Callithrix jacchus: one gene and its partner. The protein of the gene in region 2 interacts with the protein of the main gene of each other region in a biochemical or structural test. Links are inferred from orthologs where the notes say so. Each region holds a gene or a part of one and is shown on either strand. Other genes may lie near its edges.

What was found.
Region 1: the proteins of UBE2D1 (region 2) and RNF6 form a complex in vitro, tested with the Homo sapiens proteins (2 studies listed by BioGRID). The link is inferred for Callithrix jacchus from reciprocal best matches to the Homo sapiens genes UBE2D1 and RNF6.

Annotation. Positions count from the first base shown.
Region 1 is NC_133506.1:145,385,157-145,393,197, forward strand, and holds the start of RNF6 (E3 ubiquitin-protein ligase RNF6), read right to left. Parts: upstream 4,856-8,041; 5' UTR 4,535-4,855; exon of another isoform or gene 4,081-4,534; intron 3,993-4,080; exon of another isoform or gene 3,898-3,992; 5' UTR 3,815-3,897; intron 2,244-3,814; exon of another isoform or gene 2,240-2,243; 5' UTR 2,226-2,239; coding exon 2,033-2,225; intron 1,174-2,032; coding exon 1,078-1,173; intron 1-1,077. UniProt on the Homo sapiens protein: E3 ubiquitin-protein ligase mediating 'Lys-48'-linked polyubiquitination of LIMK1 and its subsequent targeting to the proteasome for degradation. Negatively regulates axonal outgrowth through regulation of the LIMK1 turnover.
Region 2 is NC_133513.1:72,133,886-72,141,157, forward strand, and holds the end of UBE2D1 (ubiquitin-conjugating enzyme E2 D1), read right to left. Parts: intron 5,684-7,272; coding exon 5,590-5,683; intron 4,880-5,589; coding exon 4,834-4,879; 3' UTR 2,879-4,833; downstream 1-2,878.

The DNA.
Region 1 (8,041 bases), on a different chromosome or scaffold from region 2:
CTACCCTACTCTTCGTCCTTTGTAAAAACATTAGAAATGGGCACGTGGACAACCTGGCAGTTAGGTGTGGCCATGAGACTAAGTTCTCATGAATGGAATAAGAGAGCAAGTGATACATCCTACTCTCAGTGCCTGGATCTCCTTCCTACCAGCTAGAATCTAGATAAGGTTGCGACTTAGCTTGATCATATAAATGGCACCCTGGAGCAGTGATGCCCATGAAACTTTTTGCAGTAATGGGTATTTTCTGTATTTGTGCTGTTCAATACAGAAGACACTAGCCACATGGGACTATTAAGCACCTGAATGTGGCTAGTATGAATGAGGAGCTAAATTTTAAATTTTATTTAATTTTAATTAATTTCTACTTAAATAGTCACATGTGGCTAGCAGCTACTGTACTGAACAGCACAGTTGTAGAACCATTCTGTTAGCTGAGTAGATTCCATGAGGATTTCATAGTAGCCACATTCAGGTGCTATCTTATTGAGCCATTGCATTTTGGAGTTTCTATACAGACTTTACTGTAACTAATGCAATGATTTTGATATAATATGTGCAACTACTAATAACTACCTCTGAGGAGGGAAGTAGAACTGGTTAAGAAGGACACAAAAGTGGCTCTTACTTTTAACTCTAGATACTTCTATTTAGTTTGAAATTTCTTTTACAGTACTTTCAAGAACTTTTTATATGTAAACCGTCAAACAGAAGAAAGAAACAAAACCAGGTTTCCTAACGGTCTCTCTACATGGTTCTGTATATAAATCTTTAGAAACTGAGTAATACCACTTTATAAAAAGTAGTGTATACATTCCAAGATTAAAAAGACCTATGCTGGGAATTAATTGCATATTATTTCATAAAGCTCTCTGAAGGCAATCTGCATGTTTAAGACATCTTTGCATTTACTCCTCTGTCCTATACTGCTTTACTATTCATATACGTATTATCTGAATGAGTAACACATTAAAACTGGAAAAAATTGAAGACAAACATACTATACTAGTTCTAAGAATTTCATTTCTGCAAGTGCTCCGATCAGGCCTGTTGCTTATGGAAAGGACTCCATAGTACCTCTGTAATTTCTTCCATTTCTCATGTCAGGCTGAGAAGCTAGTTGTTCCTTGACCCCATCTAACCGCTGTTGCAGTTCTTCTGATGTTATTTCTCCTAAAACAATAAAAAATTGCCATTTAAATTAAAAATTGTTTAATTCAATTCTGAATTAAGTTTTCTGAGACCTTATGTAGGGTAAGACTAATCTTTAGTAACTTGCAGAAGACAAATGTCTTATTACTTTCATATGTTCTGCAGATTGAAGACAGTTAAAAATATTTAACTGGTGCAAACATGCATCAATTTGGTTGTGCTTCACTTAATCTTTTATTAAAAATTATTAAAATAAGATTAATTTGAATAGCTGGTGAAGTGCTGCCAACTGATACACTTAGGAACCAATAAGCTATAACTGTGGATTTTTGTCAGTTAAAAAGAAATTAAGGGAGCATTTATACAGAAAACTTCAAATCCATACTTGAATTTTACCCCAAATACTTCATTATATGGGTCTTCAATATACAAACACACAATATATAAATATACAAATTTCCATTAGTTCATTTGTAAAAGTTTTATGGAACACACTGGGCTTTGGGGGGAGTTATTAATTCAGCTGAATAAATTATAATACCCCAAATGAGTTCAAATTGGATTTTAAGTCATATTTTATTTGCATAAAAATTGCAAATAGGACCATATATGTAAATATTTAACACTATTATGTACATTAACCTCCTTAGTAGTTTGGCATTTGTGTAATAGTGCTCCATGGTCCATATTTTCACCTTATAAAATACAGAAGCAAGCCAGTGATTTTCTACTTTGTTTCTACTAAGACGATCTTAAACTCACCAAAACAATACACCATATTTTCATAAAGAAAAGCAGGGAAAACTACCAATTCTCCTTATTTTGAAATCCCTCCATCTAATGATGAAAAAAATTGTCTCCTCTTTTACCCTTCTCTTACCAGGGGTGCCTAAAAGATTATGGTCTCTCATAAGTCGATAATCTTCATCACTGAGTTCATTAATAAACTGATAATAGGCCTCTTCTCTGTGGAGACGCTCTTGCTGCCATCTTCTCTCATTTTCACGATGATTATGGTCTTGAGATAAGGTTTCTTCACTACCACCATCTGATCTAGATCGAGACTGACTCATTCTGAGATTCCTGCCTTTCTGTTCAAACAATATAAACAAAATTCAAGGTGTTATGAACCACATACGACTTTGTGTTTTTAACTTAGTTTTTCTTAATTTTTGAATGCTGTCCCCTACCCAAATACTGTATTTGCCAAATCTTGCAGTGAGAAACTTACATACAAAATGCAAAACAACTTCTAGGAAATACAACACAATTGGAGCTACTTCTTTGCCTAAAGCCATTAAGTCAGACTGGATTTGGGTTTACCACACATCACTCATGCCTGAATACCATAGTGATTATCTCATTTTTTACCTGTTGACGATTTGGAAAAGTTGATCTAAAAGTCCTCATTTATGTTTCAATATCTGGGTACTAAATTTAAATTTTAGGCTTGAATTATTCACATTCTTCACTTAATAAGCAAAAGGCTATTGGGATGATATGATTTACATTTATTCTCAGCAAGGTATTCTTTCCAAAATAAGGCTCATGAAGGTAATATTATCCCTCACTGCACTTTGTTGAGGTGAAAATCATTTAGCCTAATTAATATCTACCAAATAGACTGGGAGGTGATCTCTCCTTAAAGCCTACGAGGAAGACTTTGAAACCCAACAGGAAACCAGACATCATGTATGGCTCAAGGACTGTGGAAGTACATCAGAGCACTTTGTGTCTCCCCATATCAAGCCTCATCCTTAAGCCTGGAATGTTAGTCCCAGGGGTTTCGGAGTGCCAGTGGAACTTCTTGACTTTGCCTAAGAAAACATTATTTTCTGATTATATTTAAATGTCATTCCTGAGAAACTCACTTTTAAACTACAAGGAAATCACAGGAGAAAGATGTTTGTTTCATAATATTCTAGAATTTCATAAATACATCTATTTAGTAAACCACACTAAAGCAATGGTTCTCAAACTCACTTAAGGATATTTTTAAAAACACAGATGCCCAGATCTCATCACCCACCAATCCTCAGAGTTTTCCACGTAAGAGCCAGGTCTGCTAAGAGCTAATTTGGGTGTTCTGCAGCTGCAGATGAAATAAACTATTCCTCGACAATTTCTGGCATGTCACTAAGGGGTATGAGTAATCCAGCAACTGACTCAGGAGAGGAGAGGCTGGAGGCTCAAATAGTTAGGCTACCAGTGAAGCAACTGTACAACTCTGCCTCTCAAAATGTACCAGCTGTTTAATAAACAAGCTGCTTTAAATATAAGGTAAAGTTAGCCTAGAATTCTAAAATACTGTAGGAGCAAGTAACTATTCAATTTCACCTGTAACACTAAATTACAAATTCAAGGATTTTTTTTTTCACTGTGGTTATTTTATTATGCCGTTTTGATCAAAGGACCTAGTAGCATTATCCACTCAAATATGAATTAACACTACTAAAAACTCAAGATTTCTATCTTCAGATTAGGACTATAATTAGCAAAAAGCGTATTTGGTAGGTACAGCAATAATATGATTTTTGTAAAAAATAATTTTACAAGTTGAAACCTATCATAAAATCAAGGTACCTTAATATTAAAATTTAAGAGCTTCTCCTCAAAGGTAATTTTCTTATACAATCAATCACAATGAAAACAAAGTGAATACCTTATTTTCCTTTCAACATGCTTTTAACATATGCCATGGTATCCATCCTTCAATTGTTTGTGCCTTTTTTGAGAGCTGCCCATCTGAAAGCAATAAAAGAGAGTTCAATAAACTCTCTTTGAGGGCTACTCTGCTGCAAAGCCAAAGCAAATTCTCCAGTGGATTTTGTTAGACACGCCTAGAAAAGTAGATCTCCATACAATTAGGTCACGAAAACCTCCCGCAAGGCCCTTCCTCCCACAACAAACTTAGGCCTTTCTTCCTACACTGTCACTGCTCCTGGGTTTACCCTCCTCTCTCAAAGGCCTTCCGTCCTATCCGGTTCCCATTCGGATGTTACCACGGTTAGGCGTCTCCAGTTTACTTCTAAACCTTGACTTTCTCGCCACCCCCGCCCTCTGTCCCGCTACTGGTTTCTTTCCTGGCCGTTGCGACGGAAGCTCGCGCCGGGGGACGATCCTCACTACGATAAACAAAGTGGGCTCCAGGGACCCAACTAACCTCTTCACAACCGAGCCTCAAGTAAACGCTGCGCTTAGCGACCTAGATTCCCACAGGGAAGCAGGTGACAGATGGTGTATCCCAACCAATCACCAGCCGGGGGGGCGTATTAAGAGGGCAGTTAACCAATCGGAGAAGTGGGTGACCCGAAGGATGGCCTGCTTTCCCCGGCGTCTCCAGGAAGTAGTGGTAGGACCCAGAGCTTTCCCCCGAGCCCACCTCTCCAGGACAGGGGCCGTCCGCCTCCTGCCGGGAAAAAAGTCTGCCGCAGGCGGCTGTCCTCTAGGGTGCAGGTGGCTGTGGCTGGGAGGCGAGATAGGCTTACCGCGCCTCCAGAGGCCGCTGTGCCCTCGAATTATCTCCACTGAGGAGAGAAGCCGGAAGGCCGTGCTGCCGCGTGGGGTCGTCCCGCTGTAGGGGGATGCTCCGGAGGAGGAACTGCAGGCTCCAGCACGTCTTTCCCGACAGCCAGGTCGCCCTCTGACAGAGGGTAGTCGCTCCGCAGCCGGCCCGGAGCTCGCCAGTGCTACCGGAAACTGCGTCCGTCGAAAGCTAGGGTGGTTGCGTTCCGCGTTCCGCCCTCTTCGCGCTGCCGTTACAGTGCCTCCTCCTGGAGGCCAAATACCCGGCCGCTCAGCGCTCTTGGCAGCCCCGTAGTCGCAGAGATACAGCCTGCTTTCCAGGCTTGGGAAGTCCCAGCACTTAACTGCGCGTCCGTGTTCCTAGTTTGCCGGCCTGACTACAACGTGCAACCGACTGTCTGTTCGTCTCTTTACTTCCGGGCGTAACGTACTAACCAGCCAGGCCCTCTCCCTTGCTGCTCGTTGGAACCTAGAAATTACAAACTCTCATAAATTCTGAAGTCTGTTTATCTTATCTGTCTTTCTCTATTTGAGACAAGGTCTCGCTCTGTCGCCCAGGCTGGAGTGCAGTGGAGCGATCGTAGCTCATGGCAGCCTCCAGCGATCCTCCCTCCTCATCCCAGTAGCTGGGACTACAGGCGCTTCCCACTAATTTCAAATTTTTTCGTTTGAGAGATGAGGTCTCTACAAACATAGCGGGGTCTCGCTATGTTGCCCAGGCTGGTTTCATAATCGGCCTCGAGCAATCGTCCCGCCTCAGCAAAATGGGATTACAGGCTTGAGGCACCGCACCCCTCTATATTTGTGTTTTTTTACTTTCCCACTAGGAAAGCAGTTTGAAACTCCCAACATTCCTCTCTCTGATTTTATTTCTCAGATGTGAGGCTCACTAAACTCAACTCACCATTAGTTAAGCTGCCGAGTATGTCTCTGCCTAAGCTGGTATAAACTCCGTTCCTGACATCCCCACCATCCGGATGACTTCATCACTGGAGAGTGCTCACAATGCCATTACTTGTCATTCTTTCGTTTGTTCTTTCATTCATATCTGCGTTAACTTTTGAGGAACTACCATATCCCCATTATTGTGCTGGGAACCCGGATAACAGACAAGATGCAGTCCTTAGCATCAGTGAACTGCCAGTGTAGTAGAGATCCATGGACAAGTTTTAAAGATAAGCATATTGATATGGAGACTAAAATGGAAACATATAAAACAGCCTAGAAAGCCCTTCCAGATCTCTCTGCTGCTTACATTTACAGACTGATGTCTTGGCACTCCGAAACTGCTTGAAGTTCCTCTACAAGATATGGGAACTCCTAAGCAACCTCCAACTCCACTTTTAATTTCCTCTGCCCCCCAAAACTCAGCTCAGTTCTCATCTTTAAGGAATTGTTCCTGATAATTCTGAAGTAACACCCTTACCTCACCCTCCAGTCCAGTATCTTCACATAAAACTAGGCAAATGTCCCTTTTGGAGGCTCCCATACTCCCTCTATATAACTATTTTAGCATGTAGCCATGTATTTAACAAATACTGAGTGTGACTACGTATTAGGTGCTGGTAATAACAGCAGCGAATCAAACAGTCAAGTCGTTATTGAATGAAGTCCTTGTACTCTTTTCCTATGAAAAAGCCACTGAGCAAGTACTTAAAATGATTTTCTGTTTTTAGGTCTTTCCTACCTAGAGTCTGAACTCCGTAAGTGTGAACAAATGCTCTTATTCATTTTTGTAGTCCTAGAACTTAGCATAGCACCTGGCAGAACCTTCTCCTCAGCCTACTGCATGGATGAGCAGAGAAAGGTGCAATCTTTTTGGCAAACAGGATTAATGCACTTAGTACAAGGACTTCAGATATTGTGAACACACATCATAGAAAATAACAGGTAGAAATAATTTTTAATATCTGTGAATTTTGGAGAGTGCAATCAAATGCAATAATTCAAGTGCAAATACTTTTTACATGTTAAGTGGAAAAACATATGTGTCTCTTCCTATTTTTCCTATTTCCTATTATATAGTCTAAGAGTCAAAAATTTTATTATAAAAATTTGTAAATAAAAATCCAATCAAGTGATTTACCAGACAGGAAGCTACAGGTTTTTGTGGGTAGAGATACAGGTAATGTATGTAACTTGAATCCAACACTTTGCTTCAGTTTCTGTAGTCCAAGACAAAATGACTACAAAGAGGGGCTTAGACACGATAGCTGGAATAGACAGATGAATCATCCTTTATATCTACTCCAGGTCTCAGAACCTGCCAAGTTCTCTGGTCTAATTATTTCTGTTTATCTGATTGGTACCTGGCCTTTTTAGTGCATATGCCTTGTTTAGTTTCTGGACTTTTTACACTTAGGAATAAAAAGGTGTAAAATAATTAAACCCATACCATTAAAAGGATTCTCTGTATATCTGGTAAATTATGTACTTGTCATGTTTAAGAGATTTTTGGCTTCGCAAAAAGACAGTCTTAATTAAAATTTAAAACACAAAATGGAGCACTCGATTTCTAGTTTTAAGATGAAATCTTACTAAGTTTATGGATGGCATGAGAACAGCAAAGAGAAATTTAGGCTTGCCTTATTGTTTTATTATTAGTTTAAAAATTATTATGTAAGGATTCAAGAAGGAATTAAATTAGACATTTGAAGTACTTATGAATGAGATAAAATATTAAATTTGTAAATACAGTTTAAAATGTTGGTTTGAAGATAATTGCGTATGTGAATGAGACTGAAAGTTAATGAAAGGCAAATTCCAAATGACTGTTAAGATTTACTATAGTTACCACAAGAATAGTAAGAGCCGTAAACCAAATGTAAAAGCCTAAGGTATAACTAGGACATTGAATTTTAAACTAACAAGTTGAATATTAACTGTTTAAGGCAAAGATTTTTTAAAAGAATATTTTCTTTATTTCCTCATAGCTCTTTTAATAGTTTTATTGAGATATAATTCACATACCATAAAATTTGCCCATTTAAAGTGTATAATCCAGTGGTTTTTAGTATATTCAGAGTTGCACAGCATTCACCACAATCTAATTTTAAAACATGTTCATCACCCCAAAGGAAACTCTACACTTATTAACCATCACCCCCATTCCTACTCCACCCTATTCCCAGCCCTGGCAATCGCTAATGTCCTTTCTGTCTCTATGAATTTGCCTATTCTGAGCATTTCAAACAAATGGTATTCTACGTGATGTGGTCTTTTGTGTTTAGCTTCTTTCACTTGGCATAATGTTTTCAACGGTCCTCATGTTGTAGCATGTCTCAGTATTTCATTCCTCAAGAGAAACTTTGGAATAGTCCTTTTCTGCATATAAAAACAACCCTCAAGGACACTCCTGATAACC
Region 2 (7,272 bases):
CACTTCTCCATTTCAAAAGTTACTACAAAGTTAGAGTAATCAAAACAATGTGGTACTGGGGTAAGGCATATAGATTGATGGAATGGAAATGAGAGTACAGAAATAAACCTCTATGGTCGGTTGGTTTTCAACAAGGGTACTAAGGCCATTCAAGGGGAAAGAATAGTTTTCCCAGAAAATTATACAGGCCGCCTGATCTTTAGAAGGGCCTGTTTACAAGGTTTGCCCTTGGCTGACATCTAGAAACCTGGCTTTGAAACCATCCCTGAGTGATAAGATGTGCTTGCTGTGCTAGCCTGACTAGACTTCTTAAATAAACAATGTGATTTATGGTGAACACCTGCTTTCCTTTTAGGAGACTAAAATTTTGGAGAACAAAGGGCGCTTACATGATTTAGCCCCTAATAAAAACCCTGGACTTTGAGTTTCACACTGGCTTCCTTGGGCAGAAACACTATACCCATGCTACTACTAAAGGAAGGCTTTACTCTTGTGGCCCCTTTGGGAAAAGCACAGGGAGCCTGCACGTGATTCCTGCAGACTGCCTAGTCAGTCTTTCCCCCTTACTGCCCGCACTGTGTATCCTTGCCAGGTGGCTGTAATAAATCTTAACTGCGAGGATGGCAATATGCTGAGTCACGTGCATTCTTCTATGGACACGCTGAAAGTGTGGACCATGAGACTGCCAAAACAAGTGTACCAACAGTGCTAACACAAGTGGTTACAACTGTTCCCACAACATGTATTAAGAGTTTACCGTAATATTTCATATACAATTCATAGTGATCTTATGCACTCAAGAGATCTTAACAGTTTTTCCTAAGTAAATTATATGAGGAAAGTGTAGTTCAGACCTTCAGCATGTGCCAGTTTAATAAAAGCAACCTCTTCATGAGAGAAGAAAGGAACGTCTCTTCCTTGATGACAGTAGGACCTAGGAGGGTGCTTACCAAGTTTTTAAAGAAATGTCTCTTGGTATACAAAATGCCTCCCAATACTAATACTTTTAGGTGAATTTTCTCTCTTCCTATTAGTTCAGTTCATTTATAATTTAAAACCATATATATATACATACATATATAACAGAATAATGGGAGCAGAAATGTAGATGTCACAAAATACAAATAAGTGATATAACATCTATTAGGCTGTTACCAGGACACTATCAGCTGTCTACAAATTTTATCACTACTACTGACAAAAACTCCTAAGGAAAACATATTAATCACACAGTTTAAGAAGAGCTTACAGACACATTACTCAGTTCAAAAAGAGAGACAGAAAAAAGAGTAGAAATGACTAGTTATTTACACATAGGAACTTTATAAGTGAAATTAGATGAGTCTCTACCTGCTGCCCTATTTGTGCAATGCAACCATCAGAATGATAAAAGAGAACCATTATGAGATATAAGACCTTTCATAAATAATCTGCACCATATTTTACAGCTATTAAATTGATTAAGCCTCTACTTGAAAGAAAAAAATTGGCCAGGTGCGGTGGCTCAAGCCTGTAATCCCAGCACTTTGGGAGGCTGAGAGGGGTGGATCACGAGGTCAAGAGATCGAGACCATCCTGGTCAACATGGTGAAACCCCGTCTCTACTAAAAAATACAAAAAATTAGCTGGGCATGGTGGTGCATGCCTGTAATCCCAGCTCCTCAGGAGGCTGAGGCAGGAGAATTGCCTGAACCTAGGAGGTGGAGGTTGCGGTGAGCCGAGGTCACGCCATTGCACTCCAGCCTGGGTAACAAGAGCATAACTCCATCTCAAAAAAAAAAAAAAAAAAAAAGAAAAGAAAAAAATTGTGAAAGTCGAAGTGATAAAATTAATTTTTAAAAAATCAGATTTATTGTTTTATTGTATTAACAATCACTTAAAAGATTGAAACAAAGATAAACAGTATTTCAACAATCTGAATACAATGAAGGTTTGTTTTTATGGCCATGGCTAAAGCATTGATCACATTTTCATAGCTAGTCCTAAGAAGGTAAGAGTAACAGGACTGATGATTCTACTGCAGAACTCAAATTCTAAAGCATAAGCAACTGGACTGGGCTTTTGTGCAGTTCAAACTAACTACCAATAAACAGGCATGATATAGTTTCATAATCAAGAACCTCTTTTAATTTGGGAGGGAAATTAATTTCCTTAATCTCTCCATTTAAAAAATACAGAACTGGGAAAGCAGGATCCTGACAAATGTCAATAACTAAATCATCAAAGATAGATCACTGTGATAAATAACATAAACCTGCAATGTATTTTTATCATTTAATAAAGTAACTTTTGAACATTAACTCTTAAGAGTTGCCCTTGATATACAGTTCATTTATAAAGTAATTTTTAATTTTTCCTATCAGAGTTTAGAGGGGTAAAACCGGGAGATAATGCAAAAATGAATAATTAAATGTGGTTGGCAGAGGCATATATGTAAAGCTTGTACTTCAGGAATCATGCTTTTGAGATAGTTGGAGGATAGTGGTGAGGCTGCCCTTACAACCCGTATCACTGATGTGGATAACTGCTGTATATGGCAGTTACAAGTGTTCAAAATCCAATTTGAACATGGTTTTCAACTATGCAACTTCAAGAGGTGGGATCCTAAATCCCCAAAAGACTATCAATTTCTTTCACTCCAAGGAAGTCCTTAAGTTAATGCTTAATCTACGAAAAGGCCCTGGCTTTTAATCTATGGTTTTAAAAAGTAACTGATGTTCTCCCTGTTAGAATTAAGCAACGATAATATGCCCAAAATGGTGATCTGACTGATCATGATGCCACTATGGAACTCAACGTTTTTAGTTAATTATTAGAACTTCTGCTTACTCCTTGAGTCTAGTACAATCCAGATGTAAGCAAAGGCAAACGAGTTAGGCAAGTTTCAAAAACTTTAATAAAGAAAAAAAGACACTTCCAAAAATAAATGCCACACAAATGAAAGTTGTTTCCTTTCTTTAAGGGAAGATACTCAAGAAACAAAACCCTTTACTATCAAAATATACTAAATACTTTAATGATGTTGAGTGTTCAAATTCAGGGCAAATGTAGCTTATAATAATATAGCTAGGTAGAATTTTTCATGATATGGCTGTTTTAAGACATCACTTTATAGAGTTACTTTTTAAGCCTATATTTTCTTAAACATTCATTTCACAATTCATTTATTTTACATTCATTTATAAAAACACATATTTTCTAACAATAGGTTATTTTGTGCTTTAATAATAATGAACCATAACAAAATACTCAAGTGATTTAAACATTTTGCTAATGACTACACCCATCATAGACTCTTACACACTTCTACAGCTACTGCAATAATAAGAAGTGCTACAACTGTTCTTAAAAATGACACTCGCTCAAGGTTGATAAGCATGCTAAACATTAAAGAGATGTATTTTCCCCCACATTAAAACATAAAAACTTTCTAGTTTCCTTTAAAATCTATAAAGATAACCTGCTTATTTAAATCACTTTTGGATGGCCACTTATAAAAACAGAGGGAGGCATAATTTTAGAACTTTCTTTGTAACTTCTATAGTAAAAAACAAATGCTTTTCAAATTGTGATGACATTAAAATTCCATTTTAGAAATTCTACGTTTTAAAATTTTAAGAAATATGTCAATTACATGGGGTGGGGTATTTTAATGAATTAATCTAGTGATTTGTACAGGTCTATAAAGACCATTCTTCAGGATGAGTGATACTGCCTCATATTCATTTCAGTACTTTTAACAAATAATCCATTTAGATATAATCCCAGACAAACCCCAAATTATTCTAAATTCTCTTCCACAGCAAGGGATCAACATATATCATCTTATAGACTGACAATTTAGTAAAGAGATACTAACCTAAAACAATAAAATTTATATAACTAATGGTGACTAATGCCAAACATAATAGATCTGATTTTCATAATTTGGAAGTAATTTTCATGCAAAATTTTAGAGTTTTGATCCTTAATTATATTTTTATATTTTTAAGTAATCAAGACAAATAGTAGAAAAAGCATTTTATTTATATGGAAAAAGCTACAGTAATATCTGTAAAAGGTGTCAATATAATATTGCCTATACAGGAAAAAATTCAAATGTGAATAGCAACAAATAAAAGTTACACATCTTCCTACTTAGCAGTGCAATTAATTCACATTGCAATAAAGTTAAGTCAAGTATAATAAAATCAAAACAAGTGTTTCTCCATAATCAGTATGCTGATTATTACAGTGTAAAGATCATTTCAGATTTAAGAAATCTCCAATCAATCTACAGAATATCCTAAGACAAGGGAGACACAGTTAATTCACTTAATTATCAGCTGCTGGGGTTTTTCAATACTGTTCACAGGGAAAAAGTAATGAGTTGACATACATGTAAATAGAATATATTTAGTCTATACAGTAAAAAAATACAAATTATAAAGTGAGCTAACAAAGAATGAAATCTGAATACAGATTTATAAAACTGACATCTTAGACAACACATACAGTATTTCTCATGTAAAAACATCTAGTTTCAGCAAAAAATAATTTGGTTGCTTTTCAGCTGCACTGTAGATCTTGTAAGCTGAAGATGCAGATGTCCAAGTATTTAAAACCATAATAAATGTCTTTCTCAATGCATACAAAATGATAAATGCTCTCATCACAGTCTTATGGGTATTTTTGGAAGTTTGTTTTGTCTTGCTTCAGAAACACATTTAAAATGGGTAAAAATCAAATGGTTTCATGGTACAATGAAACAGTAAACAGTGCTCAATTTACTGCTAATGTTGAAAAAAATCTAGATTTTACAGTACTCTGGTATATATGAAAATGTTTTTGATTTTACATTGCATATTTCTGAGTCCATTCTCTTGCATGTCTGTTGTATCTGTAGATATACAAAAAGAATATAATAAAAACATACAAAATTAATATTTTAGAAGCATCTGTCTATATAAAACTATATATTCCTTTTATACTTAATTGCAATAATCACACATACATCAATTATTGGGTCAATGGGACTTAGGTTCATGCAGAAATAAAACGGGAAGGACAATTTTTCAACTAATGGATTTCTCTGCAATCTGTATGAAAATGTATCCAAGTATATGAAAAAGAAAATGCAGAAACCAACTTTTAATAGAAATGTACAAAGCCAACCCTGAAGAAGCATTATCTACAAATTGCAAATAAACCTACAGTACAGGCAAGCTGAAGCAGCTTGAGAATTAGGTCAGTGGGCATAGAATTAGGATGGGCATAGAGAGAACTCATCTTCCTGGGAGAAGATAGGCAATACAGTATTTAATACTTTCCAATGATTAAATTATTTCATTTTTAATTTACCACCTAGAATATATATATATATATTTATTTTTCAAATACAGACTATATACTATTGAACAGGAAGTGGGAAGAAACAGGATTTATTGTAAAAGGACAAACTGAGTTCTAAAAGAAGGGTTTACTCCACTGGAAAAAGATAAAACAATATATGCACAACAAGCTGTACTTAAAATACATTGACAATATTCATGTTTTAGCATACTATATAGGAATGTATCCATACAGAAACTAAGATAAGTTAACACTTACTTTTCTTTGTCTGATTTATAGATTTGTGCAATATCTGGTACTAAGGGGTCATCTGGATTAGGATCACAAAGTAGAGAACATATGGACAATAAAACTAGATTTAAAAAAGAACATCATATTAGACAATAATCTAGTTCATATAATTACACATGTGAAAATGATTTTAGTGAATACAGATACTAAATTTATTAGAAAAACAAAAGAAATGAACATATGAAATTATATTTTATTCTATTTTGGTTGATAGCAAATGATCTTTAATTTTTAAAGTTATAAAATTACCCTAAGATGGGTAAAATATGAAATTACTTTAGCTTTTGAAGTTTTAAATTCTATTTGAGTTTCTATTTACTTAAAAAAGTGACCCTCCAAAGTAGCTATTAACAACCTTTAAACTTGAGAGTTCTCTACAGAACAATCAAATTACACTTAACAGTCCATATACCATTTGGATACTGTGCTCAGACACTCTTTTACTTTGGCTTAGAGCTATAGTCTGTCTACAAAGAAGAAAAATTTGTAAAAATTTTTTCAGTGAATCTTTACTTCATGTACTTTATTCATGTTGTATGCATTTAAAAATAATGTGAACAGCTACCTTCATATAACTTGCATATTTTAAAATAGAAATGAAAATTGAAAAAGTAGTTGTTACTCCAGTATGTCAAAATCCTAATGCAAATAGCTACGCTAAAAAAAAAAAAAAAAAAAAAAAAGACAATCTAAGATCTAAGTATCTGAAATAAGAGGGAACAAGGACTGTGGTTCCTCATTTGTCTGCTTCAATTGCATGCCACCACTTCTGAGGAGTTTCAGGGAACGTCTGGACCAACCTCCCATATCCACTTGCCCCAACCTCATTGTGTTTCCTTTCTATTTTCCTACTCTTTCAAATCCAAAGGTGGATTTATAGAGCAGAGCTGACTTATATGACAGGCAAATGGGGGGTATTATGAACTAAAGAAAAAATTAGTATTTTATGCATCTTTCTTATCTTCTATCTGCCCAATGAAACTTCAAGCCTTGTATATTAAACCAACAGGGTAGATTTTCCAGGCTGACTTACAGCCCCAGAATGCTTTCAGACTAACCTCATGATAAAAAGCAAAAGAAGTCATTTAAAATATGGAAAAGCTCCAGGCATGGTGGCATACACCTATAATGCCAGCTACTTGGGAGGCTGAGGCAGAAGAATCGTTGACCTTAGGAGTTCAAGATCATCCTGGGCAACACAGCAACCCCATCTCAAAAATAAAAAAAATTTAAAAAATAAGCTGGGCAAGGTGACTCACATCTATGATCCCAGCACTTTGGGAGACCAAGGCAGGAGGATCACTTGAGGCCAGGAGTTTGAGACCAGCCTGGTCAACACAGCAAGACTCTGTCTATATTTAATTCAAAGAAAAAATTTAAGATAAAAAAATTAAAAATTAAAAAAATAAATATAGAAAAGTAAAAAAATGAGCAAGGTACAATCTATCTTATAAAAAATAAGCAAGAAGGAAGTTCTTCCTCTGCCCACTCCTACTGCCAGGAGCCATTTGCCTGAATTTTACTATCATGCACACAAACCATGTCTATCCTTTAAGGTAAGGAAAAGGGTAACAGTTAACATTCATGTAAGTGCCCATTATGTGCTAGGAACATAGCAACCCTATATGGTAATACTATAATACTCCCCAT